Anolis sagrei: one gene and its partners. The protein of the gene in region 2 interacts with the protein of the main gene of each other region in a pairwise test. Links are inferred from orthologs where the notes say so. Each region holds a gene or a part of one and is shown on either strand. Other genes may lie near its edges. The genes, in order: GPSM3, GNAI1, RIC8A and RGS19.

Region 1 (7,455 bases), on a different chromosome or scaffold from region 2:
GTAGCAATGAAAATAATATTATGGTTGGGGGTCACCACAACGTGAGGAACTGTATTAAGGGGTCGTGGCATTAGTAAGGTTGAGAAACACTGCCCTAAGAGGAAGGAGCTATTGAACCTACTTGGAATAAATCATTCCTAGAAACTTCTCACATGTCAGAGTCAGCTAGAAGCCACATGAATTGTGTGATCATCACCATTAGAAATATTTCAACGTTGCCAAAAACGTTGCAGTTGATGCTGACTCTGCACATGCTCAGAATCTCTTTGCTATGGCAAATAAAAGGCACTTGGGAAAAGAGATGTTTTGCAACCGCTTGGGAAGTCACAGAGTTCAAGGTGTTGCAAGCAGTGCCTCACATAAGGTATTTTTTCCTCCCCAGGCAGCAGGAAGCAACAGAAAACTCTCCTGTGGATTGCAATGCAACCGTTGTGGGTGAATATTTCACACTGTTGGACCCAACCAAGTGTGATATGAGTTGGTTACAAGGATGCAAATTGCCTTCACGGGGCAATGTCATGGAAGAAAAGGCTTTCACATTTTACCTCTGCCCACGACTGTTCATGGAAGGAATGTTCCTCTTAATGTCCATTTCCCCCCTTTATCATCCCGAATCACAAGCATGAAAGCCCCAAATCCAAGTGGAACCGTGGTGAAGCCAAAATGATTAAGCTCCCACCCACACACCATATATGCTTTAGAATTAATACAGTTGGACACCACTTTAATTGCCATGGGTCAATGCTATTGAATCCTGGAAGCCATAGTTTTACAAGACCTTTCGTCATCTCTGCCCAAGATAGCTGGTGATGCAACAAAATACAACTCACAGTGGTATCAACTTGTATTTGAGTGTTGCACCCCAGGCCTGAAGCCACCGATGACCACAGCACCACACAAGAGTCCTGAGTATAAGCAATCAGTTTACTGTAAAAATACATTAAAGGTATATGGAAAATTCAGGTCTAAGGAAATAAGGTGTATAATCCAAAAGGGTCAGCAATAGATGATAACTAAACAGGAATCCCCTTGCCACAATGCTTCAGAACAGATGTGCTTAGGATTTTGGGGTTTTTAGGGGGTTTGGAATATGGCCACTAAACCCAGTTTTAAATCATGAATTTTAAATTTATCATTATTGCATTGCAATATTTGTACCCTGCATTTTAATATGTGCATTTTATAGAAATGTGCTTTAATGCATGCATGTTATTGTATGGATTTTATGGGGATGCATTATGTGTTGTGTCCTGCATTGAGACATGAGGAGATGGGTAACAAATAACATTATTACTATTACTATTACTATTATTCTTAATATTAATATTATTAGAAACACAGCAGGATTAGTACGCAGCGCTGGTTGTCGTATTAGATCACATGTTGGACATTTCCCAATCAGTGAATAATGTGTTCGGATCCCAGTAGGGTGGCCTTTTGCAGCTGACAAATGGTAATTTTGTCAGCGTCGATTGTGTTTAAGTTCAGGCCAAGGCCTTTAGGCACTGCACCTTGTGTGCTGATCACCACTGGGATTATTATTATTATTATTATTATTATTATTATTATTATTATTAGAGCTGGCAAATTCCTTGCTCGGTGCATCAGGTCCATGATCACACCAAATATTGGAAATCACTCAGCAGCTTCCGGACAGCAATTTGCAAGAAGGCCTAAACTCAGAGAGATTTCTCAAAGGACCAAATGCTGAGCAAAAGTTTCAACATGATATTTATAGCATCAGATTTTCCCTTCATCAGCATACAAAGATCCTAACTGGTTATGTGTGAAATACTTGGGTGTTTTGTTTTTTTTTTGCTCAATATGAAAATGGTTACATCAACTAGTTGGCATTGCACATGCTTATTTCACTATATAGTGTCATATTACAATTTGCATACAATACCAGGCGGTGGGCCCCCTGATTGCACAAAGGTTTAAACCACTGAGCTGCTGAACTTGCTGACTGAAAAGTTGGCAGTTCAAATCTAGGGAGCAGGGTGAGCTTCCGCTATTAGGCCCAGCTTCTGCCAACCTAGCAGTTCAAAAACATGCACATGTGAGTTGATCAATAGGTACCACCTTGGTGGGAAGGTAACAGTGACCCATGCAGTCATGCTGGCCACATAGTTCAGAATGCTCTTTGATTAGGTGAACTATAAATCCCAGCAACTACAACTCCCAAATTATGAAATCTATCCCCCCCCCCCTCGCAACCCCACCAGTATTCAAATTTGGGCATATTGGGTATTTGTGCCTAATTTCATCCTGTAAATGAAAATACATCCTGCATATCAGATATTTACATTACGATTCAGAACAGTAGCAAAATTACAGTTGTGAAGTAGAAATGAAAATAATTTTATGTTTGGGGGTCATCACAACATGAAGAACTGTATTAAGGAGTCATGGCATTAGGAAGGTTGAGAACTACTGTCTTAGCTAATAAATAAAGCTCCAGTAGTTAAAAATAGAATGACATCAAATCATGGGAGTTGAAGTTTTACAAGGTCTTGATCCTTCTCCATCAGAGTGCTGGTGCCTCATCAAATGACAGCTCCCAAGATACCATAGCATTGAGCCAAAAAAACAAATAACTCATTATACTTCCACAACACCCAGCTACCTTGAGTGTATCTTCAATATAGAATGAATGCAGTTTGATGCCACTTTCACTGCCTTAGCTCAACGCTATGGAATCATGTAATTTGGAATTTGGTGAGGAACCAATACTCTTTGACAGAAAAGACTAAAGACCTTGTAAAACTACAGCTCCCTTTGATTCTATAGCATTGATCAAGTGGTAAAAGGGGCATCAAACTGCATTCATTCTATAGACTCACCCATTCTTGGCTACTGATCACTCCAGTCTTGGAAATCCCATTTTTACCATTGTGCTCACCTTTTGTGCCCCTCTCGTATTATTTCCACCACTGGCGCCTGTGCCAAATGACCATCTTCCTTCTCTTTTGTGTGACTGTTGCTTTGTCTTCAGGAGACTCAGCCTACTGTCACTTTTCTCCTTCCTTCTTGGTTTTGCTTGATCTGTTTGGCTGGCTACGCCTCTTATTTCTACACGGGAAGCTACTACCGCTTCCTGCTCTTGCTATATAGTATGTTTCTCACGCCAACTTTCTTTCTGTCTCTCTTCCCATTGGTCTCAAAACCAATGAGACAAGCGAAAGAGCCAGGTGTGTGAAGCTTTCTCAGAATGAAGTGACTTCACTTCAATGTATTGTCGAAGGCTTTCATGGCTGGAATCACTAGGTTCTTGTGGGTTTTTTCGGGCTATAGAGCCATGTTCTAGAGGCATTTCTCCTGACGTTTCGCTTGCATCTATGGCAAGCATCCTTAGAGGTAGTGAGGTCTGTTGGAATTAGGACAATGGGTTTATATATCTGTGGAATGGCTGGGGTGGGGCAAGGAGCTCTTCCCTGCTGGAGCTAGGTGTGAATGTTTCAACTGATCACCTTCACTTCACTTCGCTTCACTTTATTTCTTAATTAGTCGCTCTCCAGCAAGGTGGTCTGAGCGACTTACAATTTAAAATAGCATCTCTTCATGACCTCATGGATCAGCCTGGTTGTCATAATCTTGGTTTTTTAAATGTTTAACTGCAACCCAGCTTTTGCACTTTCTTTTTTCAGCTTGGTTAGAAGGCTCCTCATCTTCTCCACTCTTTCAGCCTTCAAAATGGTATCGTCTGCATATCTAAGGTTGTTAATGTTTCTTCCAGCAATTTTAACTCCATCCTTGGATTCATCAAGCCCTGCAAGTTGCATGATATGTTAAGTAGGGTGGGTGAGAGTAGACAGCCCTGCCATACTCCTTTCCAAATCTTGAACCATTCTGTTTTTACTGTTGCTACATAGTTGTTATACAGATTCCTCAGGAGACAGACAAGGGTACTTGGTATCCCCATACCATCAACTTGCCACAATTTATTATGATCCACACAGTCAACACTTTTAGAATAGTCAATAAAACAGAAATAGATGTTGTTCTGAAACTCCCTGCCTTTCTCCATTATCCAGCGGATAATAATAATAATAATAATAATAATAATAAGAAGAAGAAGAAGAAGAAGAAGAAGAAGAAGAACTCCTGACCTCACAATTGTGTTAAAAAACAAAGTATGGATTGTCGATGTTGCAATCCCAGGTGGCAGCAGGAGTGAAGAGAAACAACTGGAAAAGCTGACACGATATGAGGATTTAAAGATTGAACTGCAAAGACTCTGGAACAAGCCAGTAAAGGGGGTCCCAGTGGTGATTGGCACACTGGGTGCAATGCCTAAAGACCTTGGCCTGCACTTAAACACAATCGGCACTGACAAAATTACCATCTGCCAGCTGCAGAAGGCCACCTTACTGGGATCTGCACACATTATTCGCCGATACATCACACAGTCCTAGACAATTGGGAAGTGTCCGATGTGTCATCCAATACAACAGCCAGCAGAGTGTCTGCTGTGGACTCATCTTGTTGTGTTTCAAATAATAATAATAAATATAATAATAATTAATATAATAATTAATATAATAATAATAGCATCAACAAAAACAATAAATATAGCTGTATTTTATCAAGCAGACAAGAGGTCTTTCTCCCTCCCCAGACATCCCACAGGTATATCATCTGGGGAGGCCCTGCTCTCAACCCCGCCACTATCACAAGTGAGGTTGGCGGGGACGAGGAGCAGGGCCTTCTCAGTGGTGGCCCCTCACCTGTGGAACTCACTCCCTGGGGAGATTAGATCAGCGACTTCCCTTTTGACGTTCAGGAAAAAACTGAAGACCTGGATTTGGGACCAAGCCTTTGGACATTCTGGCAGCTAAAGAATCTGACGATAAATAAGGACAGATGCAATGGAATAGATATACGGACTCTGAACACTGAGCATGAGATTGTTTTGCTATGTTATTATGTATTGATGTTTTTAATTTGTTAACTGTTTGAATTGTTTTTCTGTATTATTTGTTAGTTGATTCAGGCATCGAATTGTGCCTTCGTCTGTAAGCCGCCCTGAGTTCCCCCTTGGGGTGAGAAGGGTGGGGTAAAAGTAATTGAAATAAAATAAATAAATAAATAAACCTCATTTTCCTAGTTTCCAACAGACCTCATAACCTCTGAGGATGCCTGACATAGATGTGGGTGCAACGTTGGGAGAGAATGCTTCTGGAACATAGCCAGACAGCCAGAAACCTCACAGCAATCCAGTGATTCTGAAGACCCATGAAAGCCTTCAACAACAGAATAATAGCATCTTTTGCTTGCAGCTCAGAGCGAAGTACTACAGGGTTAAAACTGAGAATAAAAACCTTCATTCAGTGGAGGAGACATGCTTAAAACAGGCATGCGATCAATCCCATGCCATATCAGCAACAGGATAAACACTGGAAAACTGTTTTCTTATAAATGCCAGATAATCTACATCTCTGCTATGACTGGCAGGACCTCCAGCAAAATATGAATGACGCTGGACCACTTCATCGCTGCTATGCAAAGTACCAAGATCCTGATGTTGATCAAATTATTTTGACACCCAAGGCGTAAATTCCTACAAACATCTCTCCCTTGGAGGTGATTTGCAACACAGTGCAAATCAATGTAACCAGTTGCAATTTGCTGCCCTCTCATGACTTGTAGGAGTGTTGGCCTCAGGCATCCACTTTGCTCTGTCAGATGGCACAGCTGGACCTGCTGACTGCCTGGCACAGGCACCCTAGGGTTGTGCCATCACCCGGGGCCCCGTAGTTTTAGCAGAGCAAGCTAAAGACTATGAATTCAGGACTTTCTGCAGGAGGAGCATTTGTCCTGCCAGCAAGCCAATATCTGCTCCTGGAACCAAGTTGGTTAAAAACATGCACACATAATTATAGTCCCAATTTAAAGATCCTCTTGGCTTAATCTTTGTTGGACCTCCAGTTAGGGTGCTCAAGGGCCAGGGCTTCCCAGTTCGCTGTGTCTATGCCAGTTTTTAAAGGTTAGCTTTAAGCCCATTTTAAAATCTCTTTTCCTGTCCACCAACATTATGTTTTTCATTCTTCAGTTGGGAGTATAGTAACTGCTTTAGGAATGGAGCCTCCAGTGGTGCAATGAATAAAATCCTTGTGCTGGCAGGACTGCTGACTGACAGGTCAGTGTTCGAATCCAGGAAGAGCGGGTTGAGCTCCCTCTGTCAGCTCCAGCTCCCCATGTGGGGGACATGAGTGAAGCCTCCCACAAGGATGGTAAAACAACAAACATCCAAGATTCTCCTGGGCAACGTCCTTGCTGACGGCAAATTCTCTCACACCAGAAATGACTTGCAGTTTCTCAAGGCGCTCCTGACACAAAGTTTCTCAAGTTGCTTCTGCTTTGGGAGATGGTGATCTTTGGGCATTTGGACAACGTGGCCACGCCAGCAGAGTTGATGGCATAGGAGCATCATTTCAGTGCTGGTGATTTTGCTTCTTCCAGCATGCTGACATTGATCTGCCTGTCTTCCCAAAAGATTTGCAGGATTCTGGAGATAAACAGCTGCAGAAAGCAGCTACGCAAAGATTTGCCCATTTCATCATGGCTATTTCCCAATATGGCCTGATTTTCAGAATAGCAGCTCAGAACATTGAAATCTATCTTCTGCCAAAATACCTAATGGAAGTTAAGTCTCCAGAATCTGAAATAATCCACAAGGGTAGCTGAGAGAGTGATGCCTTTGCTTTCTAATGGCTCAATGAGCACTAACTTTGTTTAGTGCACAAAATTATTAATATTATTGGGTACCACACTGCCTTTCTGTTAAGTGTATAGGTATATATAAAAAGCATAAGTAAATCCACCCTCTGTATCCAGGGATTCTGCAGCTATAGATTCCATAATCCACAACTTGAAAACATATTTTAAACAATCCAAAAAGCATACTTTGATTTTGTAATTTTAGATTAAAATCATAGAATCAAAGAGTTGGAAGAGACCTCATGGGCCATCCAGCCCAACCCCATTCTGCCAAGAAGCAGAAAAATTGCATTCAAAGCACCCCCGACAGATGGCCATCCAGCCTCTGTTTAAAAGCCTCCAAAGGAGGAGCCTCCACCACACTCTGGGGCAGAGAGTTCCACTGCTGAACAGCTCTCACAGTCAGGAAGTTCTTCCTAATGTTCAGGTGGAATCTCCCTTCTTGTAGTTTGAAGTCATTGTTCCATTGCTTCCCATTCTCCAAGACAGCAGAAAACAAGCCTGCTCCCCCCCCCCCCCCCGTATGACTTCTCCTCACATATTTATACATGGCCATCATGTCTCCTCTCAGCCTTCTCCAGGCTAAACATGCCCATCTCTTTAAGCTGCTCTTCATAGGGCTTGTTCTCCAGACCCTTGATCGTTTTAGTCGCCCTCCTCTGGACACATTCCAGCTTGTCAACATCTCCCTTCAATTGTGGTGCCCAGAATTGGACACAGTATTCCAGATGTGGT
Region 2 (7,732 bases):
CAGAATTCAAAACGATCTTGACAGGTTAGAGAGATGGGCCAAAACTAACAAAATGAAGTTCAACAGTGACAAATGCAAGATACTCCACTTTGGCAGAAAAAATGAAATGCAAAGATACAGAATGGGGGACGCCTGGCTCGAGAGCAGTACGTGTGAAAAAGATCTTGGAGTCCTCGTGGACTACAAGTTAAACATGAGCCAACAATGTGATGCGGCGGCAAAAAAAGCCAATGGGATTTTGGCCTGCATCAATAGGAGCATAGTGTCTAGATCTAAGGAAGTAATGCTACCCCTCTATTCTGCTTTGGTTAGACCACCTCTGGAATATTGTGTCCAATTCTGGGAACCACAATTCAAGAGAGATATTGACAAGCTGGAATGTGTCCAGAGGAGGGCGACTAAAATGATCAAGGGTCTGGAGAACAAGCCCTATGAGGAGCAGCTTAGGGAACTGGGCATGTTTAGCCTGAAGAAGAGAAGGCTGAGAGGAGATATGATAGCCATGTATAAATATGTGAAGGAAGCCACAAGGAGGAGGGAGCAAGCTTGTTTTCTGCTTCCTTGGGGACTAGGACGCGGAACAATGGCTTCAAACTACAAGAGAGGAGATTCCATCTGAACATTAGGAAGAACTTCCTGACTGTGAGAGCCGTTCAGCAGTGGAACTCTCTGCCCCGGAGTGTGGTGGAGGCTCCTTCTTTGGAAGCTTTTAAGCAGAGGCTGGATGGCCATTTGTCAGGGGTGATTTGAATGCAATATTCCTGCTTCTTGGCAGGGGGTTGGACTGGATGGCCCATGAGGTCTCTTCCAACTCTTTGATTCTATGATTCTATGATATGATATGTTATCCCACATATGATGTTATGATATACTATTCCCACATATTCCCCATATAATTTACATTAGAGTTGTCCATATCTCTTTGGAATACTTTAAACTGTTTGGCAGAAATGACAGTAGGCAACTCTTTCCACAGCAAACCTGTTGACAAGGTGACTCATTGCTTCAGTTATTGCCTTAGAGAAGGCTCAGCAATTGGCAACTGCTTCCCCAAACATGGCCCAGTTTTCTAATTGTCAAATCATGGGCAAAGATGAACGTTTAGAAAAGTGAATGTTGTCACAAAGGGACTTACCAGCTCCTGAATGTGTCACCCCCTCCCCATTTCTCAAAGTGGCCTGCTACTATTATTTGCTGTTGATACATAGAACGTGTCATAGAATCAATCAATCAATGATTTATTACGGTCTTTGACCAGCACAGAATAGAATGGGGCACAGGAGCCCAAGGAAGGGAATCGCAGTTCCCAAGTAGGTCAGATAAAAAGCAGATTAAAAACATGTTATAAAAGACGCAGATTAAAAAGCAGACTAAATTTACAGTTTAAAGTGCATGTATGAATCTAAAATAGGGGGGCGGCTAATACAAATATCAGACAACTAGGAAGCTCTAAAAAGGGATGAGAGCGGAGCATTTACAGCATTTCAGTTATTAAAAATCATTCTAACTATATTCCCGGCAGGAAGTTGCCTGGTGGAGTCGGTCATCAGCCGTCTAATGTTAATTGCTGCTGCACAGAACTTGGCAACACTGTAGGTTGTCGCAGAGCAAGAGTCCGAGAGCAACAGGGAGGTGTAATATCTTTCGGTGCGCCGTGGATGTTTTAAAAGCCATGGAGTGATGAAATTAGCTCTAATGTCTCTATAGAATGCACATTGGAGGAGCACATGTTCAGTTGTTTCAATATAGCCAGACTCGCACGGGCATAGTCTCTCCTGGGCAGGGGTCTTCCGGTACCTCCCCTCCAGTACTGCCAATGGAAGGGCATGGCATCTTGCCAAAGCGAAAGCTCTTCAGTGTTTAGGCACCTCCAGGTTTGCTAAGTAAGCCATGGGAGCGATGAGATATCTGCTATCTTCGCTAATGGTGAATGCTGGAGAGCAGGCTAAGTCTGATTGTCGCTCTATATCCTGGATCCATTTTCTAATAAGATCCTTGGCTTGGTCCCATCCCATACCTAGCAGTTGTCCTTGAGAGAAGCCTAGAGTTGCAATTTTGACTGCCTCTACCTTATTCCATGTAGACTGAAATTCATCTCTCAGAGTTAATGGAGCAAGTCCACATGTTGAGAAAGACAGATGCAGCCAATAATTGAGGGTGGCTGTCCACAATCTCGCCTCCACTCTCACGAGGCCTGTCTCTAGTTGCAGGGGGAGCTGCATCGCTGATCTTAGAAATTTTGATTGTACTTGCTGCAGAGGGGCATAGTTTGAGAAGGGACTGAGTTGGGCTCCATACATCATAGAATCATAGAATCAAAGAGTTGGAAAAGACCTCATGGGCCATCCAGTCCAACCCCCTGCCAAGAAGCAGGAATATTGCATTCAAATCACCCCTGACAGATGGCCATCCAGCCTCTGTTTAAAAGCTTCCAAAGAAGGAGCCTCCATCACACTCCAGGGCAGAGAGTTCCACTGCTGAATGGCTCTCACAGTCAGGACGTTCTTCCTCATGTTCAGATGGAATCTCCTCTCTTGTAGTTTGAAGCCATTGTTCTGCGCCCTAGTCTCCAAGGAAGCAGAAAACAAGCTTGCTCCCTCCTCCCTGTGGCTTCCTCTCACATATTTATACATGGCTATCATATCTCCTCTCAGCCTTCTCTTCTTCAGGCTAAACATGCCCAGCTCCTTAAGCCTCATAGGGTTTATTCTCCAGACCCTTGATCATTTTAGTCGCCCTCCTCTGGACACATTCCAGCTTGTCAATATCTCTCTTGAATTGTGGTGCCCAGAATTGGACACAATATTCCAGGTGTGGTCTAACCAAAGTGGAATAGAGGGGTAGCATTACTTCCCTAGATCTAGACACTATGCTCCTATTGATGCAGGCCAAAATCCCATTGGCTTGTTTTGCCACCACATCAGGCACAGTCAGCCCATTGTATGCTAATCAAGGTGGTCAGTTGAAACATTCATACCTAGCTCCAGCAGACAAGAATCCTTTGTCTTATAAATCTATATTGCAATAATCCCCTGTCATGCGTTGCTGTGGCCCAATCTGGTAGTCATGGGGGTTCTGTGTGGGAGGTTTGGTTCAATTCTATCATTGGTGGGGTTCAGAATGCTCTGTGATTCTAGGTGAACTATAAATCCCAGCAACTGCAACTGCAAGATTCTATTTTCCAGTGTTCACATTTGGGCATCTTGAGTATTTGTGTAAAGTTTGGTGAAGATCCATAATTGTTTGTGTCTGTGTGGGAAATTTGCCCCAATTCTGTCATTTGTGGGATTCAGAATGCTCTTTGATTGTGGGTGAACTATAAATCCCAGTAACTACAACTACCAAATGCCAAAGTCTATCCCCCCCCCCAAAAAAAAAAAAACTCCACCTGAGTACATATTTGGGCATACGGAATATTTGTGCCAAGTTTGGTCCAGATCCATCATTGTTTGAGTCCACAGTGCTCTGTAGATGTAGGTGAACTACAACTCCCAAACTCAAGGTCAATGCCCAGCAAACCCTTTTAGTCTTTTCCGTTGGTCGTGGGAGTCCTGTGTGTCACCTTTGGTTCAATTCAATCATTAGTGGAGTTCAGAATGCCCTTTGATTGTAGGCGAACTATAAATCCCAGCAACAACTCCCAAATGACAAAATCAATTTTTTGAGTGAAGGATATTTATTGGGTTGTTAGGTGTCTTGTGTCCAAATTTGGTGTCAATTCTTCCAGTGGTTTTTGAGTTCTGTTAATCCCACAAATGAACATTACATTTTTATTTATATAAGAAGAGGGTCTGGTGAACAAGCCCTATGAGGAGCAGCTTAAGGAGCTGGGCATGTTCAGCCTGAAGAAGAGAAGGCTGAGAGGAGATATGATAGCCATGTATAAATATGTGAGAGGAAGCCACAGGGAGGAGGGAGCAAGCTTGTTTTCTGCTTCCTTGGAGACTAGGACGTGGAACAATGGCTTCAAACTACAAGAGAGGAGATTCCATCTGAACATGAGGAAGAACTTCCTGACTGTGAGAGCCGTTCAGCAGTGGAACTCTCTGTCCCGGAGTGTGGTGGAGGCTCCTTCTTTGGAAGCTTTTAAACAGAGGCTGGATGGTCATCTGTCAGGGGTGATTTGAATGCAATATTCCTGCTTCTTGGCAGGGGGTTGGACTGGATGGCCCATGAGGTCTCTTCCAACTCTATGATTCAACATCAATGCCCAGCAAACCCTTCCAGTCTTTTCTGTTGGTCATGGGAATCCTGTGTGCCGGGTTTGGTTCAATGCCATAATTGGTGGAGTTCAGAATGCTCTTTGATTGTAAGTTAACTATAAGTCCCAGCAACTACAACTCTCAAATGACAAGATCATTTTTTTTTGAGTGAAGGACATACATTGGGTTGTTAGATGTCTTGTGTCCAAATTTGGTGTCAATTCTTCCAGTGGTTTTTGAGTTCTGTTAATCCCACAAACGAACATTACATTTTTATTTATATAGAAAGAAGAAGATGATTCTAGGCTCCTTGATTCACACTGCAGTGAAGGAGTGAAAAATTAGTCCAAAGCCCACCGCTCTAGGAGCGCTCCCCTCCGCCTCTCTGTTGTCGACTCCACTCCCAAAAGTGGCAGAGGTCCAGGCGTCCCCCGCCCCCCTCTTCGCACATGCGCAGTGCACGCCTAACCGTCGCTCTTCACTTTCTCCCTCTGGCACGGGCGCGCGCGCGCTCTCGAGGGAGGCTCGGCGCTCGCGCTCGCGGGCGGACTGGCGCGTGAGATATAGAGGCGGCACTGCTGCTGGTGCTGCGCGTGAGGGGAGGAGGGTTTCCCTCCCGCAACACCCCAAAACAACAACAACGTCGTGTGTGAGGGAAACCGAAAGAAGGAGACGGCGCCCCCCCCTCCCTCACTTTCCCCCGTTTGGCTTCTCTGACTCAGTCACTGGGCACTTTTGAGCACCCCCCTCCCCTCCCCTCGCCTCCCCTCCAAGGACTTCAGCTGCTTTGTTGGTTTGGAAAGGGCGGCCTCTTGGTGTTTGTATTTGGACCATGGGCTGCACGCTGAGCGCCGAGGACAAGGCGGCGGTGGAGCGGAGCAAAATGATCGACAGGAACCTGCGGGAGGACGGAGAGAAGGCGGCGCGGGAAGTCAAGCTGCTCCTCCTGGGTAAGGTGGCTCCCTTCTCGCCTGGCTTGGCTTTCCCCCTTTCCTCCAAGACCAAGGTTGGTTGGGGGTTGGATGCTTCCTCTGCGGAATTGATGGGATGTGGCGGCAAAAAATGCCAATGGGATTTTGGCCTGCATCAATCTAGATCCAGGGAAGTCATGCTATCCCTCTATTCCGCCTTGGTTAGACCATACCTGGAATATTGTGTCCAATTCTGGGCACCACATTTGAAGACAAGCTGGAATGTGTCCAGAGGAGGGCGACTAAAATGATCAAGGGTCTGGAGAACAAGCCCTATGAGGAGCGGCTTAAAGACCTGGGCTTGTTTAGCATGCCACTCGTCCAGCACCCAAGGGGCTTCCTTGGAATTTGGTGGAAAAGAGTAGTAAATTTGTGTGTCATCTGCATAGAGATGGCAACCAACTCCAAAACTCTAGATCCAGGAAAGCCATGCTACCCCTCTATTCTGCCTTGGTTCGGCCACACCTGGAATATTGTGTCCAATTCTGGGCACCACAATTCAAGAGAGATATTGACAAGCTGGAATGTGTCCAGAGGAGGGCGACCAAAATGATCAAGGGTCTGAAGAACAAGCCCTATAAGGAACGGCTTAAAGAGCTGGGCATGTTTAGCCTGACACTCGTCCAGCACCCGAGGGGCTTCCTTGGAATTTGGTGGAAAAGAGTAGTAGAGTTGTGTGTCATCTGCATATAGAGATGGCAACCAACTCCAAAACTCTAGATCCAGGGAAGTCATGCTACCAAACGCAGCATCGCCCAAACACGAATCAAGGAACATGAAAGGCACTGCAGACTACTTCAACCAGAGAAATCAGCCATAGCAGAGTACCTGATTTTGGCCTGCATCAATAGAAGCATAGTGTCTAGATCTAGGGAAGTCATGCTACCCCTCTATTCCGCTTTGGTTAGACCACACCTGGAATATTGTGTCCAATTTTAGGCACCACAATTCAAGAGAGATATTGACAAGCTGGAATGTGTCCAGAGACGGCAACTAAAATGATCAAGGGTCTGGAGAACAAGCCCTATGAGGAGCGGCTTAAAGAGCTGGGCTTGTTTAGTCTGACACTCGTCCAGCACCCGAGGGGCTTCCTTGGAATTTGGTGGAAAAGAGTAGTAGAGTTGTGTGTCATCTGCATAGAGATGGCAACCAACTCCAAAACTCTAGATCTAGGGAAGTAATACTACCCTTCTATTCTGCTTTGGTTAGACCACACCTGGAATATTGTGTCCCATTCTGGGCACCATATTTGAAGAGAGATATTGACAAGCTGGAATGTGTCCAGAGGAGGGCGACTAAAACGATTAAGGGTCTGGAGAACAAGCCCTATGAGGAACGGCTTAAAGAGCTGGGCATGTTTAGCCTGACACTCGTCCAGCACCCGAGGGGCTTCCTTGGAATTTGGTGGAAAAGAGTAGTAGAGTTGTGTGTCATCTGCATAGAGATGGCAACCAACTCCAAAACTCTAGATCTAGGTAAGTAATGCTACTCCTCTATTCTTCCTTGGTTATACTACACCTGGAATATTGTGTCCCATTCTGGGCACCACATTTGAAGAGAGATATTGACAAGCTGGAATGTGTCCAGAGGAGGACGACTAAAACGATTAAGGGTCTGGAGAACAAGCCCTATGAGGAACGGCTTAAAGAGCTGGGCATGTTTAGCCTGACACTCGTCCAGCACCCGAGGGGCTTCCTTGGAATTTGGTGGAAAAGAGTAGTAGAGTTGTGTGTCATCTGCATAAAGATGGCAACCAACTCCAAAACTCCGGATAGCAAAGTGTCTAGATCCAGGGAAGTCATGCTACCCCTCTATTCCACCTTGGTTAGACCACTGCTGGAATATTGTGTCCTATTCTGGGCACCACATTTGAAGAGAGATATTGACAAGCTGGAATGTGTCCAGAGGAGGGCGACTAAAACGATTAAGGGTCTGGAGAACAAGCCCCATGAGGAGCGGCTTAAAAAGCTGGGCTTGTTTACCCTGACACTCGTCCAGCACCCGACTTAAGGAGCTTGGAATTTGGTGGAAAAGAGTAGTAGAGTTGTGTGTCATCTGCATAGAGATGGGAACCAACTCCAAAACTCTAGATCCAGGGAAGTCATGCTACCAAACGCAGCATCGCCCAAACACGAATCAAGGAACATGAAAGGCACAACAGACTACTTCAACCAGAGAAATCAGCCATAGCAGAGCACCTGATTTTGGCCTGCATCAATAGGAACATAGTGTCTAGATCTAGGGAAGTAATGCTACCCCTCTATTCCGCTTTGGTTAGACCACGCCTGGAATATTGTGTCCAATTCTGGGCACCACAATTGAAGGGAGATGTTGACAAGCTGGAATGTGTCCAGAGGAGGGCCACTAAAATGATCAAGGGTCTGGAGAACAAGCCCTATGAGGAGCGGCTTAAGGAGCTGGGCATGTTTAGCCTGAAGGAGAGAAGGCTGAGAGGAGATATGATAGCCATGTATAATAATAATAATAATAATAAACTTTATTTGTACCCGGCTACTATCTCCCCAAGGGACTTGGTGCGGCTTACATGAGGCCAAACCC
Region 3 (7,538 bases), on a different chromosome or scaffold from region 2:
GAGTTAGGCATGTTTAACCTGCAGAAGAGAAAGCTGAGAGGAGACATGATGAGGGACATGTATAAATAAGTGAGGGGAAGTCATAGGGAAGAGGGAGCAGGGTTGTTTTCTGCTGCCCTGGAGACTAGGATGGGCCAGAACCGCCCCATCCAGCCTAACATTTAGGAAATGGGTGAAGACGTGGCTGTGGAGTCAGGCCTTCGAGGAATGAGACAACACCATAGGACCCTGGATGGAAGTTGATGTAGATCCATCTTAATAGGACGACTGACCACAGTAGTTTTAGACATAGTGTTATTTTAAAGTTTTTTGTAATTGTGATATATGATATTTTAATGAATGTATATGTTTTTATGGCTGTAAACCGGGCTGAGTCCCTCAACGAGGTTGAGAAGCTTGGTATACAAAACTGTGAAATAAATAAATAAATAAATAGGATGTGGAACAATGGCTTCAAATTACAGGAAAGGAGATTCCATCTGAACATTAGGAAGAATTTCCTAGCTGTGAGAGCTGTTCAGCAGTGGAACTCTCTGCCCCGGTGTATGGTGAAGGCTCCCTCTTTGGAGGCTTTCAAGAAGAATGGGTCATCTGTTGAGATGCTTTGAATGTGATTTTCCTGCTACTTGGCAGGGGGTTGGTCTAGATGGCCCACGAGGTCTCTTCCAACTCAATCATTCTATGATTCTATGATCAACACTTTTGCATAAATTGGTACATATTCTGTAATTTGGTAATAGACTGAGCTTCCCTTATCCAAAATGTCTGAGGCTACAGTGTTTTGGATCCCCCCCCCCCCCCCCCAGATTTTGGGATATTTGCATATACATTTGATTAAGACATATATTAAGATGGGCCCAAAATCTAAACACCTAATTCATTTATACTTTATAGCAGGCATGGGCCAACTCCAGCACTCCAGGTATTTTGGACTTCAACTCCCACAATTCCTAACAGCCTACCAGCTGCTAGGAATTGTAGGAATTGAAATCCAAAACACCTGAAGGGCTGAAGATTGCCCATGCCTGCCTTATAAACATAGCTTGAAGATAATGTCACACATATTTTAAATCTGTTTGAAGTCTGTGTGCATTGAACTACCAAAAAGCAGAGATGCCAGTCTCTTGGCCATCTATTTTCAAATTTGGAGTATTTCAGAATTTCAGGTAAGAGATGCAACTCAGCAGGTGTATTTCCCCTATAGGGGTCAATATAAACATTGTTGAGTGCACTAGCAGAAACAGATATTCAGAAATTATTTAATATTTTACACAAGTCAAGCCTGGACTTGTTATGAACAAAAATGTAGGTCTGGAATCAGACCTGGGATGACAATAATAATAATAATAATAATAATAATAATAATAATAATGGGCTGTTGTAGGTTTTTTGGGCTGTGAGGTTAAGGATGCTTGCCACAGATGCAGGCAAAACGTCAGGAGGGAATGCTTCTAAAACATGGCCATACAGCTGAAAAACCTACAACAACCCAGTGATTCCAGCCATGAAAGCCTTCAACAATACAACAACAACAACAACAACAACAACAACAATAATAGCTTTATTTGTATTCCTAGAGAACTCAGGGCAGATTCCAACAACAGAAGGAAAACAAAACATTTAATGCCTATACAATAAGAATAACAAATACAAATGCATTAACAAACCGCCCAAATCCCAAAAAAGTGAATGTATATCACTTTAAAATGCACATAAATCAAGTTTACAACCACATATCAAATTAAACAAACAACTCACTTAAAATTAATTTAAATTATATCTAATATGAAAATATAACTCTGGCATCACAAAGAATTCACAAGAATCAATAATGTATTTAATTATTTACCCTATTTATATCATCTTTCTCTACCCCAAGGGGGATTGAAGGCAGCCAACATATGGTAATTATTCAATGCTTTAAACACATATTATTTATTTATTTGCAAAGGGGACTCAGAGCCACTTACAAGATATATATACATAAAATATATTGTATTATTAGCAAAGTACAATATCAATATTAAATATTACTTTATTGTACTATACCATTATACTGTAATATGATTAGTAATATTACATGTAATATAAATATATAATTATAATATATTATTATTAGTATTATATTGCAATACATTATAATATTATAAATATTATATGTATATACAATATTAAAATATTACTATATTGTACTATACCATTATATTGTAATATTATTAGTAATGTTACATGTAATATAAATATATAATTATAATATCATATTATTAATAGTAGTATTATATTGCATTACATTATAATATTATAAATATTATATGTATATACAATATGTTACATTATATTACATTATTAGCATAGCATAGGAGACATACAAACATTAAGCTTAAAATCCACTGAATTAAAATGAATACATAATTTAAAAATTTAAAAAATTACATTCAGCATTAAAATCACGCCATCCATAACATCTACACCGTAGAAATAATGCAGTTTGACACCACTTTAGCTGTAGTTTTATAAGGCTTCCTCTGCCTGGGAGTGCTGGTGCCTCATCAAACTACAACTCTCATGTTCCAGAGCATTGAGTGATGGCATTTAAGGTGGTGTCAAGCTGGATTTCTTCTAAAGTGTACGCGCATCCAAGGTTTCATTTAGCCAAGCCTTGTTTACATCCTCCAAAAACCCATTGGATTCCAGTCTTGCCCAGATATCTACCTACCTTTACAAAAGGGGAGTGGTTAGGAAACATTTCCCAATCTGGTTTCCTTAATCCAAGATACAAAGTGACATATTATGATCATCGTGATTGGGATCATATCAGTATGCAACCCTCCTCCCAGCAAGCCCAGCCACCCCATTTATTGGGGAACCCAAGGGAACCCCAGGAAGGGGAAGGGCGGCTTGTACCTTCCTTTGCAGCCGAGCTGCTTGTGGTGGGAAGTCAGTCTCTTCGCCTCATTCCCTGCTGCTGCCTCCTCCTTCCTTCCTTCCCCCAGGACAAGAAAGGGAAGCCAAAAGGAAGGAAAGGCAGCCAAGAGGGGGCGCCAGTTGCCGGAGGACACCAGCACTCTTTGGCAGAGGATGCTAAAGTCTGGGTTGCTGTGAGTTTTCCGGGCTGTAGGACCCATGTTCCAGCAGCATTCTCTCCTGACGTTCCCTCTGCATCTATGGCAGGCATCCTCAAGGGTTGTGGGGTCTGCTGGAAATTAGGAAAATGGGGTTTATATATCTGTGGATACTCCAGAGTGAGAGAAAGAACTCTTGTCTGCGTGAGGCAAAGCAGCCAGGCTTTGAAGCTGCAAGGCTATTCGATGCTAATCAAGCTGGCCAATTGCAACATTCACACTTGCATCAAAAAACGAGAGGAAACTAGGAAAATAGGGTTTCTGTGGAATGTCCAAGGTGGGAGAAAGAACTCTTGTCTGCTTGGGGCAAGTGTGAGGCAAAGCAGCCAGGCTTTGAAGCTGCAAGGCTATTTGATGCTAAACAAGCTGGCCAATTGCAACACTCACACTTGCCTCAAACGGACAAGAGGAAACTAGGAAAATTGAGTTTCTGTGGTATGTCCAAGGTGTGAGAAAGAACTCTTGTCTGCTTGGGGCAAGTGTGAGGCAAAGCAGCCAGGCTTTGAAGCTGCAAGACTATTCGATGCTAATCAAGATGGCCAATTGCAACATTCACCCTTGCCTCAAACAGACAAGAGGAAACTAGAAAAATGAGGTTTCTGTGGGATGTCCAAAGTGGGAGAAAGAACTCTTGTCTGCTTGAGGCATGTGTGAAGCAAAGCAGCTAGGCTTTGAAGCTACAAGGCTATTCAATGCTAATGAAGATGGCCAATTGCAACATTCACCCTTGCCTCAAACAGATAAGAGGAAACTAGGAAAATGGGGTTTCTGTGGAATATCCAGGGTGGAAGGTGGGAGAAAGAACTCTTGTCTGCTTTGTGTGAGGCAAAGCAGCCAGGCTTTGAAGCTGCAAGGCTATTCGATGCTAATCAAGCTGGCCAATTGCAACATTCACACTTGCCTCAAATGGACAAGAGGAAACTAGGAAAATGGGGTTTCTGTGGAATGTCCAGGGTGGGAGAAAGAACTCTTGTCTGCGTGAGGCAAAGCAGCTAGGCTTTGAAACTGCAAGGCTATTTGATGCTAATCGAGCTGGCCAATTGCAACATTCACACTTGGCTCAAACAGACAAGAGGAAACTAGGAAAATGGGGTTTATGTGGAATGTCCAAAGTGGGAGAAAAAACGTTTCAATGTTTCAATGGACTACCTTGGTTAGTATTCAGTGGCCTAGCTGTTTCAAGGTCTGGCTTCATACTGCCTGGGGGAATCCTTTGTTGGGAGGTGATTAGCTGGTCCTGATTGTTTCTTGTCTCCAGACAAGAAACTCCCCTGTTTTTGAGTGTTGTTCTTCATTTACAGTGCTGATTTTGTTAGGTACTGTTAGGAATTGTGGGAGTTGAAGTCCAAAACACCTGGAGGGCCCAAGTTGGCCCATGCCTGGTAGATGCACTCCAAGACAGGCAGGACAGAAGATATTTAGAGGGGGGGGGGGAAGAAACCAGATTTGTGTAAGGACAGAAGAGAAACCAAGAAACTTGGTTCCCCCTTTTTATAGTTTATTTTTTTTGTAATTAATTTGCCAAGAATGGGGCTGGACTGGATAGCCTCTAGGGTTCCCTTCCAGCTCTATCATTCTGTAAACCTTACAGAGGCAGCAACCTACGTCACAAACAGGGGCGGGGCCAATGCTCTTGGATGCCCGAGGCGGAGAATCCAAAGGGCAGCCACTTCCTGTTCCTGCCCTCAAGAAACATGGCGGCCCATTCCCACTCAGGGAGCATGCCCTCTGGAAAAATGGCGGTCTAAGCCGCACTCTTCCGCTCTCGGGGGAGGCGCTTATCCAATCCCCGCCCCACGGCCTCCTTGCCCTCTTCCCTGATTGGTTCGTTTGCAGATCGATTGCCCTCCTTGGCACCGCCTCTCGCCTTGGCTCCGGATGGGACACGGAGGCAAGAGGCAGCCATGGCGGATTGGGGCCGAGGTAGGAAGGGAGGGAGGGAGCGGTGTCTGAGGGGAGGCGGTAGGCCTCGGAGGGAGGAGGAGAGTGGGCGCCCTTCGTTCTGCCCTAGTTAAGCCTTCCCTTTGTTTTGGGGAGAGGGCCCTCCTTCCCGTTGAAGCAGGCCTGGGCAAACTTGGGCCCTCCAGGTGTTTTGGGCTTCAACTCCCACCATTCCTAACAGCCTGTAGGGCCGAAGGTGGCCCAGGCCTGCTTTAAATGGTTCTCCCCCCACGTCTCCTTTGTTTTCTTTCACAGAAATGCCCTTTGACAGCTGAAATAGTGAGTCAGGCACAGTATTGCCCATCTTAACTCCATAGCATTGAGTCATGGCAGTTGAATCTGTTTCAAACTGCATTAGTTCACAAGTGTAGACCCACTGAATAAAAAGAAAAGGAATTATTCATGCCGGAAATTCTTGAGACCAGAAGTATTTTGGATTGTGGCATATTCACCTATATTAAATTAGGTATCCTAGAGATAGGACTCAAAAGCTAAACAGGACATTCATTTGCTTCATTTGTATATATGTGTATATATGTTATTATACATTATTATTTGATACACAAAAAGATTAGTGCACAGCAAGCAAGAACGCTGTGCTGGCTTTTGTATTTGATTACACTTCAGACACATCCCAAGTATCTGTGTGATGTATTAGGAAATAATGTATGCAGAACCAGGTAGGGTGGCCTATTGCAACTGACAAATGGTAATATTGTAGGCGCCGACTGTTTTTAAGTGCAGGCCAAGGTATTTAGGCACTGTACCCAGTGTGCCGATCACCACTGGGACCACCTTTACTGGCTTGTGCCAGAGTCTTTGCATTCATTTATGATACATTATCATCATCATCATCATCATCATCATCATCATCATCATTAAGGAGCCCCCGGTGGCGCAGTGGGTTAAACCCCCCCTCCCCGTGCCGGCAGGACTGAAGACCGACAGGTCGCAGGTTCGAATCTGGGGAGAGGCGGATGAGCTCCCTCTGTCAGCTCTAGCTCCTCATGCGGGGACATGAGAGAAGCCTCCCACAAGGATGATAAAAACATCAAAATCATCCAGGCATCCCCTGGGCAACATCCTTGCAGACAGCCAATTCTCTCACAACAGAAGGTACTTGCTCCTGACACGACAAAAAAAAATCATGTTTATTTATACCCCATTTTATCTCTCCGAAGGCAACTAAAAGTGGCTTGACATTAACACATCAGCATAACCATTTAAAATATACAAGTATTGTTGTTGTTGCTATTATTACTTATATTACTTATATTATTACTTGTTACTTATAATATATTATTACTTTATCTCCCCAAAGGTGACTAAAAGCAGCTTGACATAAAAGCATCAGCATAATCTTTTACAAATATACAATTAGTATTATTATTATTATTGTGGTTATGTTTGTTTATACCCTGCTTTATCTCCCTTGAAGGCAGCTCAAAGCAACTCAATATAAAAGCATCAGCATAAACATTTACAAATATACAAACATTAAAACAGGATTAAATATAAACAGTATTCAAAAACTTTGCTTAATTTGTTGAGTCACTGGCTTATTTATTTATTGTTTATTCCTATCCTTACAATCAAAAGGAAGGCTACAAGTTAAGAATAACTTTACATAGCCTAAGAGTCCTTTCATAAACAGTTTTAAAGAATTTCAGGCATGCAGCAAAGTTCGTATATACTGATCCATCAGAAAGCAAATGTCTTGCTACTTTCTTATTTCAGTGGACTTCTGTCCTTCCCCAAAATGTTTGGGATGGCTGTGTTTTGGATTTTTTCAGATTCTAAAATCCTTGCCTATCAGTAATGAGACATCATGGAGATGTGACACCCACAACATTCATTTATGATTCATACATGCATATATAGCCTCAAGGTTGTTTTATATACAAAGATTTTTTTTAAAATAATTTTGTGCGTGAAACCAGGTTGGACATATTGAACCCTTAGAAAAAACAAAGATGTTACTTTCTCAGCCATTGTGCTGAGATTGGATTTGGGGATTTATGAATAAGGGATATTCCAACCCTGTATTTCCATTATTGGTTTCTCCATTTGTTCTGCTTTCATTTTGGGTGGTTATGTGTGGAAACTGATTTTTTTTAATACTGTTACATTTAATTCTGTTTTAATATTTGCATATTTTTATATTTAAAATTATGTGGTCATACTTTTAATGTAAGCCACTTTGAGTCTCCTTTGGGAGAGATAAAGCGGGGTATTGGTGAGGAGGAGGAGGAGGAGGAGGAGGAGGAGGAGGAGAAGAAGAAGAAGAGCAATAATAATAGTAATAGTAATAATGGTGGTTACATGGGGTTAAGCAAAGTTCTCCAATTATGGATCCTGGCTGGACAGCAGTAGAAAAAGAGTGTGGCATTAAAGAATATAAAATGGTTATATGAGACACTGTTTTTATTGAAATGCATGTAAACTACCAGCATGACTTTCTATGACGGCAATGGG
Region 4 (7,228 bases), on a different chromosome or scaffold from region 2:
GTTGTTGTGAGTTTTCCGGGCTGCCCTTCCACACAGTCCTATATCGCAGAAAATCCCACAATATCTGCTTGGAACTGGGGGCTCTTCCACACAGCCTTATATCCCAGGAATATCAAGGCAAAAAATCTCACAATATCGGCTTTGGACTGGATTATCTGAGTCCACACTCAGATAACGTGGGATTTCCTGCCTTGATATTCTGGGATAAAGGGCTGTGTGGAAGAGTTCTGCGTTATCTGAGTCCACACTCAGATAATGTGAGATTTCCTGTCTTGATATTCCAGTATATAGGGCTGTGTGGAAGGGCCCTGCATTATCTGAGTACACACTCATGTAATGTGGAATTTCCTGCTTTGATATTCTGGGCTATAGGACTGTGTGGAAGGGTTCTGTGTTATCTCTCCACACGCTGATAATGTGGGATTTTCCGCCTTGATATCCTGTGTGGAAGGGTCCTGCGTTATCTGAGTCCACACTCAGATAATGTGGGATTTCCTGCCTTGATATTCCAGGATATAAGGCTGTTCTGCATTATTTGAGTCCTCACTCAGATAATGTAGGATTTCCTGCCTTGATATTCCAGGATATAAGGCTGTTCTGCATTATCTGAGGCCTCACTCAGATAATGTAGGATTTTCTGCCTTGATATTCCGGGATATAGGGCTATGTGGAAGGGCCCTACGTTATCTCAATCCATACTCTGATAATATGAAATTTCCTGCCTTGATATCCTGTGTGGAAGGGTCCTGCATTATCTCAGTCCACAATCAGATAATGTGGAATTTCCTGACTTGATATTCCAGTATATAGGGCTGTGTGGAAGGGCCCTGCGTTATCTGAGTACACACTCATGTAATGTGGGATTTCCTGCTTTGATATTCTGGGATATAGGGCTGTGTAGAAGAGCCCTGTGTTATCTGTCGACACGCTGATAATGTGGGATTTTCTGTCTTGATATCCTGTGAGGAAGGGTCCTGCGTTATCTGAGTCCACACTCAGATAATGTGGGATTTCCTGCCTTGATATTCCAGGATATAGGGCTGTGTGGAAGGGGCCTGGATTATCTGAGTCCTCACTCAGATAATGTGGGATTTCCTGCCTTGATACCCTGTGTGGAAGGGTCCTGCATTATCTCAGTCCACATTCAGATAATGTGGGATTTTCTGCCTTGATATTCCGAGATATAGGGCTGTGTGGAAGAGTCCTACATTATCTCAGTCCACACTCAGATAATGTGGGATTTCCTGCCTTGATATTCCAGAATCTAAGGCTGTGTGGAAGGGCCCTGTGTTATCTCAGTCCACACTCAGATAATGTGGAATTTCCTGCCTTGATATCCTGGGAGATAAGGCTGTGTGGAAGGGTTCTGTGTTATCTGAGTCCACACTCAGATAATGTGGGATTTTCTGCCTTGATATCCTGGGAGATAAGGCTGTGTGGAAGGGCCCTGCGTTAGCTCAGTCCACACTCAGATAATGTGGGATTTCCTGCCTTGATATTCCAGGATATAAGGCTGTTCTGCGTTATCTGAGTCCTCACTCAGATAATGTAGGATTTTCTGCCTCAATATTCCGGGATATAGGGCTGTGTGGAAGGGCCCTGCGTTCTCTCAGTCCATACTCAGATAATGTGGGATTTCCTGCCATGATATCCTGTGTGGAAGGGTCCTGCGTTATCTGAGTACATACTCAGATAATGTGGGATTTCCTGCCTTGATATTCCAGGATAGAGGGCTGTGTGGAAGGCCCTACTGTTGTAAAGAGATGGATTTGCAAGACCAAAACTCCTGCGACTGGCCTTGTGAAGCCTCAGGCAGCCTTTGATCTGGTGGGTCCCCAGGTATTGCCCTCCAAGAGGCAAGGAAAGGAAGCCACCTGAATAAAAGGTTTGGGGTACAAGAAAGGTGACCCTTCAAGAGGAAGAAACTGGTTGCCCTGATGGGGTTCCTCCCAAAGGGATCTTAATGGCACTCAACGCCTTGCTCTGCCATCGCCCCAAACATCTCTCTCCTTTTTGCCTTGAGCCTCTTTGGCCAAACCTGGCACATGGCTCTCATTAGGAGCCAGCCTTGCAGACCATGGCATGCCTTCTTCCTACCTGGTAGGAACCTCAGGAAGAAGAGAAGGAGGGGGGTTCAAGGGGAGACCCCAAACCCAGGTCTTCCTCTCCCATTCCACGCCAGCAAGCTCTCCCTCCCTGTTTCCCCTCTATTGCAATCCGGCCGCACACTTGATGCATTCACCCGACAACACGCGCCTGCCTTTCCCTTCCTAAATTTAATACATTTGTGAATATATCTCTCCTTTGCAAGACTGTTTCTCCTTCGGCCCCTTCTCCCCTTCCCCTCGGCTTTGCCAAAGGGCCCAGGTCCCTTCCCAAGATACAGATGTAGCCAAACCTCATCCAAAAAGGAGAGGAAAAGCAGGAGAAGCAGCACAGGAAACTGAGGAAAAGGCGAGGGAGCCTCAGCCAGGTTGGATCCGATTTCACTCCCAAGGAAACACCTCCCTCCCCCCCCTCACCCCCCTCCCTTTTGCCCAATCCTGGGCAGAGTTGCCCTCTCCAATGGAGGTCCCTTTTGGCAAAGGCACTCAACCCAAACTCAGGGGGTTTTGGGGACTCACGTTTGGTGCATCCGAGATCCCTGCCGCACATCCGTCCCTTTTTCCCTTTCCAATCCCCTATTTTTTTCCTCCGCCGCCTCTTCTTTTTTAGCTCCCTTTTTGGGGAGGAAGAAGGGGTGCCAAGGGAGGAGGAAGAGGTGGAGGTGGGGAAGCCACTTGGAGAGAGAGGAAAAAAAATCAAAAAAAGGGGAAGAAAAATACTGGCTGGCAGGGTCTCTCCACTGCGCAGGCGTCCCCCAGCCCCGGCGATTGACTTCCGAAAGCAAAGGGCTGTTTTTTTGCACTTCCTTGCCTGCTCCGCTTTATTTATTTATATTTGGCAGGATCTGGGCGAGAAGGGGGGAAAAAAGGAGAAGGTCTTCCTTCTGCCCACCTCCGCTTGGCTGCTTTCCTCGGCCTTTCCCCGGTTGCAAGGCAATCCCAGGCGGGGAAAAAAAAAAAAAAAGAGAAGATGAGCCTTCATGCAGCTTGCAACAGCAGCCCAGAGGAGTCCAAGGAGGGGAAACACACTCACCTCTGCAATGCATCTCCTGACAGATTTTCTGTAGAATCAAAGAGTTGGAAGAGAGGCTGGATGGCCATCTGTCAGGGGTGATTTGAATGCAATATTCCTGCTTCATGGCAGGCTGGATGGCCATCTGTCAGGGGTGGTTTGAATGCAATATTCCTGCTTCTTGGCAGAATGGGGTTGGACTGGATGGCCCATGAGGTCTCTTCCAACTCTTTGATTCTATGATTCTATGAGACCTCGTGGGCCATCCAGTCCAACCCCATTCTGCCAAGAAGAAGGAAAATTGCGTTCAAAATACCCCCGACAGATGGCCATCCAGCCTCTGCTTAAAAGCCTCCAAAGAAGGAGCCTCCACCACACTCTGGGGTAGAGAGTTCCACTTCTCAACAGCTCTCACAGTCAGAAAGTTCTTCCTAATGTTCAGTAGTTTGTAGTTTGAAGCCATTAGAATCATAGAATCAAAGAGTTGGAAGAGACCTCATGGGCCATCCAGTCCAACCCCATTCTATTGGATTCAAAGCACCCCTGACAGATGGCCATCCAGCCTCTGTTTAAAAGCCTCCAAAGAAGGAGCCTCCACCACACTCCGGGGCAGAGAGTTCCACTGCTGAACAGCTCTCACAGTCAGGAAGTTCTTCCTCATGTTCAGATGGAATCTCCTCTCTTGTAGTTTGAAGCCATTGTTCCTTGTCCTAGTCTCCATGGAAGCAGTAAACAAGCTTGCTCCCTCCTCCCTGTGGCTTCCTCTCACATATTTATACATGGCTATCATATCTCCTCTCAGCCTTCTCTTCTTCAGGCTAAACATGCCGAGCTCCTTAAGCTGCTCCTCATAGGGCTTGTTCTCCAGACCCTTGATCATTTTAGTCGCTCTCCTCTGGACACATTCCAGCTTGTCAATATCTCTCTTGGATTGTGGTGCCCAGAATTGGACACAATATTCCAGGTGTGGTCTAACCAAAGCAGAATAGAGCATGGGGAGCACAACTTCCATGTTGCAACAAATAAGGTATAGGGTTTGCTCTCTAGAAGCCCAAGAAGGGTTTGGCTTGTTTCCTTATCCATACCTTGTATTTCATAGAATCATAGAATCAAAGAGTTGGAAGAGACCTCGTGGGCCATCCAGTCCAACCCCATTCTGCCAAGAAGCAGGAATATTGCATTCAAATCACCCCTGACAGATGGCCATCCAGCCCCTGTTTAAAAGCTTCCAAAGAAGGAGCCTCCACCACACTCTGAGACAGAGAGTTCCACTGCTGAACAGCTCTCACAGTCAGAAAGTTCTTCCTAATGTTCAGGTGGAATCGCCTTTTTTGTAGTTTGAAGCCATTGTTCCGTGTCCTAGTCTCCAGGGCAGCAGAAAACAAGCTTGCTCCCTCCTCCCTATGACTTTCTCTCACATATTTATACATGGCTATCATGTCTCCTCTCAGCCTTCTCTTCTTCTGGCTAAACATTCTCAGCTCTTTAAGCCACTCCTCATAGGGATCTTTAAGCCACTCCTCATAGGGCTGTTTAAAAGCTTCCAAAGAAGGAGCCTCCACCACACTCCAGGGCAGAGAGTTCCACTGCTGAACGGCTCTCACAGTCAGAAAGTTCTTCCTAATGTTCAGGTGACATCTCCTTCCTTGTAGTTTGAAGCCATTGTTCCGTGTCCTAGTCTCCAGGGCAGCAGAAAACAAGCTTGCTCCCTCCTCCCTGTGACTTCCTCTCACTTATTTATACATGGCTATTATGTCTAAAATGTGGAGGCCATGACAGACTGTATTTCTAGGTGCAAAGATTACTGCAGATGCAGAATGTAGCCTGGAAATCAGAAGACACTTACTTCTTGGGAGGAGAGCAATGTCCAATCTCAATAAAATAGTGAAGAGTGGAGACATCAGACTGGCAACGAAGATCCGCCTAGTCAAAGCCATGGTATTCCCTGTAGTCACCTACGGATGTGAGAGCTGGACCTTAGGGAAGGCTGAGCGAAGGAAGATCGATGCTTTTGAACTATGGTGCTGGAGGAAAGTTCTGAGAGTGCCTTGGACTGCGAGAAGATCCAACCAGTCCATCCTCCAGGAAATAAAGCCCGACTGCTCACTGGAGGGAAGGATACTAGAGACAAAGTTGAGGTCCTTTGGCCACATCATGAGGAGACAGGAAAGCCTAGAGAAGGGAATGATGCTGGGGAAAGTGGAAGGCAAAAGGAAGAGGGGCCGACCAAGGGCAAGATGGATGGATGGCATCCTTGAAGTGACTGGACTGACCTTGAAGGAGCTGGGGGTGGTGATGTCCGACAGGGAGCTCTGCCGTGGGCTGGTCCATGAGGTCACGAAGAGTCGGAGACGACTGAACGAATGAACAACAACAATCATGTCTCCTCTCAGCCTTCTCTTCTGCAGGCTAAACATGCCCAGCTCTTTAAGCCGCTCCTCATAGGGCTTGTTCTCCAGACCCTTGATCATTTTAGTCGCCCTCCTCTGGACACATTCCATCTTATCAGCATCTTCCTTCAAATGGGTTTTCCCCCTTCCAAAACAGATTTCTTCTTGCAAAAGCAATATGAATGTCCGACATGCCAACAACCTGGGGCCTCCTGCCTAGTGGAACCATCCCTACAGAAACAATACACTTCTGGAATGAATGAATGAATGAATGATGGGTCTACAATACCCGAAAGGCAGCAGATCCCATCTGATCTTGGAGGCTGAGTCCTCTTCCACACAGCTGTATAAAATCCACATTGAATTGGATTATATGGCAATCTGTACTCAGATAATCCAGCTCAAAGCAGATATTGTGGATTATTTGCCTTGATGTTCTGGGTTATATGGTTGTGTAGAAGGGCTCTTAGCCTTAGATGGAAGACTAAGGATCATTTTAGTCGCCCTCCTCGACACATTGCAACTTGTCAACATCTCCCTTCAATAATGGTGCCCAGAAGTGGACGCAATATTCCAGATGTGGTCTAACCTTGTCTTCCTTCCTTCCTTCCCTTCCCCTTCCCCTTCCTGCCTCCCTCCCTCCCTCCCTCCCTTCCCCCCTCCCTCCCTCCCTTCCCCCCTTATCTCTCCATGGGAAGTTACTCCTGCATGGCCAGGCACTTTCCCTCTGCCGTTTGGACTTGCTTCTGAGTTGTCTTGGATCTTAATCTTGGATCAAGGATGGAGAACCCTTTTCATACCTAGTTGGGAGAGCTGCTGGGCTTTTGAGATTGTACAAGAACATCCGGTATATAAAAGACCGGTATATAAAAGTTCTAAATAAATAAATAAATAAATTTCCATTTCTAAGCTGAAGAGCCGGCGTTGTCCATAGACACCTCCAAGGTCATGTTGGCTGGTATGACTGCATGGAGCACAATTACCTTCCCGCAGACGGTACCTATTGATCTACTCACATTTGCATGTTTTCAAACTGCTAGGTTGGCAGGAGCTGGGGCTAACAGCGGGAGTTCACACCGCTCCCCGGATTCAAACTTGTAACCTTTCGATCACAAAGTTCAGCAACTCAGCACTTTAACCCATTTTGCCACTGAGGGCTCCTAGAGGTATATATGGCTTTCCCATCTTCGGCATCTTGGAGGTTGTGCTCGATTCTGGCCACAGGGGGTGCTCTTGCTCCATCCAATATGCCAAAGAGCCCTGTCCACAGACTTCCTCCTTTGATTGAATAGCCTGCATTTCATATATATATATATTTCCTTATGGTGCCATGTAATATACCTTCCAAATTAAGCGGTACCTATTTATCTACTTGGGCCCCCTTGGTGATGCAGCGGGTTAAACCACTTAGCTGCTGAACTTGCTGACCAAAAAGTGTGCGGTTCACATCCGGAGAGCGGAGTGAACTCTCACTGTTAGGCCCAGTTTCTGCCAACCTAGCCGTTTGAACACATGCAAATGTGAGCAGATCAATAGTTACCGCTTCTGCGAGAAGGCTACGGTGCTTCATGCAGTCATGCTGGCCACATGACCTTGGAGGTATCTATGAACAATGCAGGCTCTTTGGCTTAGAAATGGAATTGAGCACCATCCCCAGAGTCAGACACGACTAGACTGTATGCCAGGGGAAACCTTTACCTTTTTATTTATCTACTCAGAGT

Evidence for each region.
Region 1: the proteins of GNAI1 (region 2) and GPSM3 interact in binary tests that used the Homo sapiens proteins (3 or more experiments, as listed by UniProt). The two-hybrid records come from large-scale screens. The link is inferred for Anolis sagrei from reciprocal best matches to the Homo sapiens genes GNAI1 and GPSM3.
Region 3: the proteins of GNAI1 (region 2) and RIC8A interact in binary tests that used the Homo sapiens proteins (3 or more experiments, as listed by UniProt). The link is inferred for Anolis sagrei from reciprocal best matches to the Homo sapiens genes GNAI1 and RIC8A.
Region 4: the proteins of GNAI1 (region 2) and RGS19 interact in a two-hybrid assay, tested with the Homo sapiens proteins (2 studies listed by BioGRID). The link is inferred for Anolis sagrei from reciprocal best matches to the Homo sapiens genes GNAI1 and RGS19.

The regions. Positions count from the first base shown.
Region 1 is NC_090022.1:16,759,365-16,766,819, reverse strand, and holds the start of GPSM3 (G-protein-signaling modulator 3), read right to left. Parts: upstream 3,010-7,455; 5' UTR 2,903-3,009; intron 1-2,902. UniProt on the Homo sapiens protein: Interacts with subunit of G(i) alpha proteins and regulates the activation of G(i) alpha proteins.
Region 2 is NC_090025.1:87,691,126-87,698,857, forward strand, and holds the start of GNAI1 (guanine nucleotide-binding protein G(i) subunit alpha-1), read left to right. Parts: upstream 1-4,714; 5' UTR 4,715-5,034; coding exon 5,035-5,152; intron 5,153-7,732. UniProt on the Homo sapiens protein: Guanine nucleotide-binding proteins (G proteins) function as transducers downstream of G protein-coupled receptors (GPCRs) in numerous signaling cascades.
Region 3 is NC_090021.1:237,757,202-237,764,739, reverse strand, and holds the start of RIC8A (synembryn-A), read right to left. Parts: upstream 3,006-7,538; 5' UTR 2,905-3,005; intron 1-2,904. Other genes in the region: BET1L (BET1-like protein), read left to right, coding at 5,027-5,045.
Region 4 is NC_090024.1:237,536,862-237,544,089, reverse strand, and holds the start of RGS19 (regulator of G-protein signaling 19), read right to left. Parts: upstream 3,002-7,228; 5' UTR 2,625-3,001; intron 1-2,624. UniProt on the Homo sapiens protein: Inhibits signal transduction by increasing the GTPase activity of G protein alpha subunits thereby driving them into their inactive GDP-bound form. Binds to G-alpha subfamily 1 members, with the order G(i)a3 > G(i)a1 > G(o)a >> G(z)a/G(i)a2.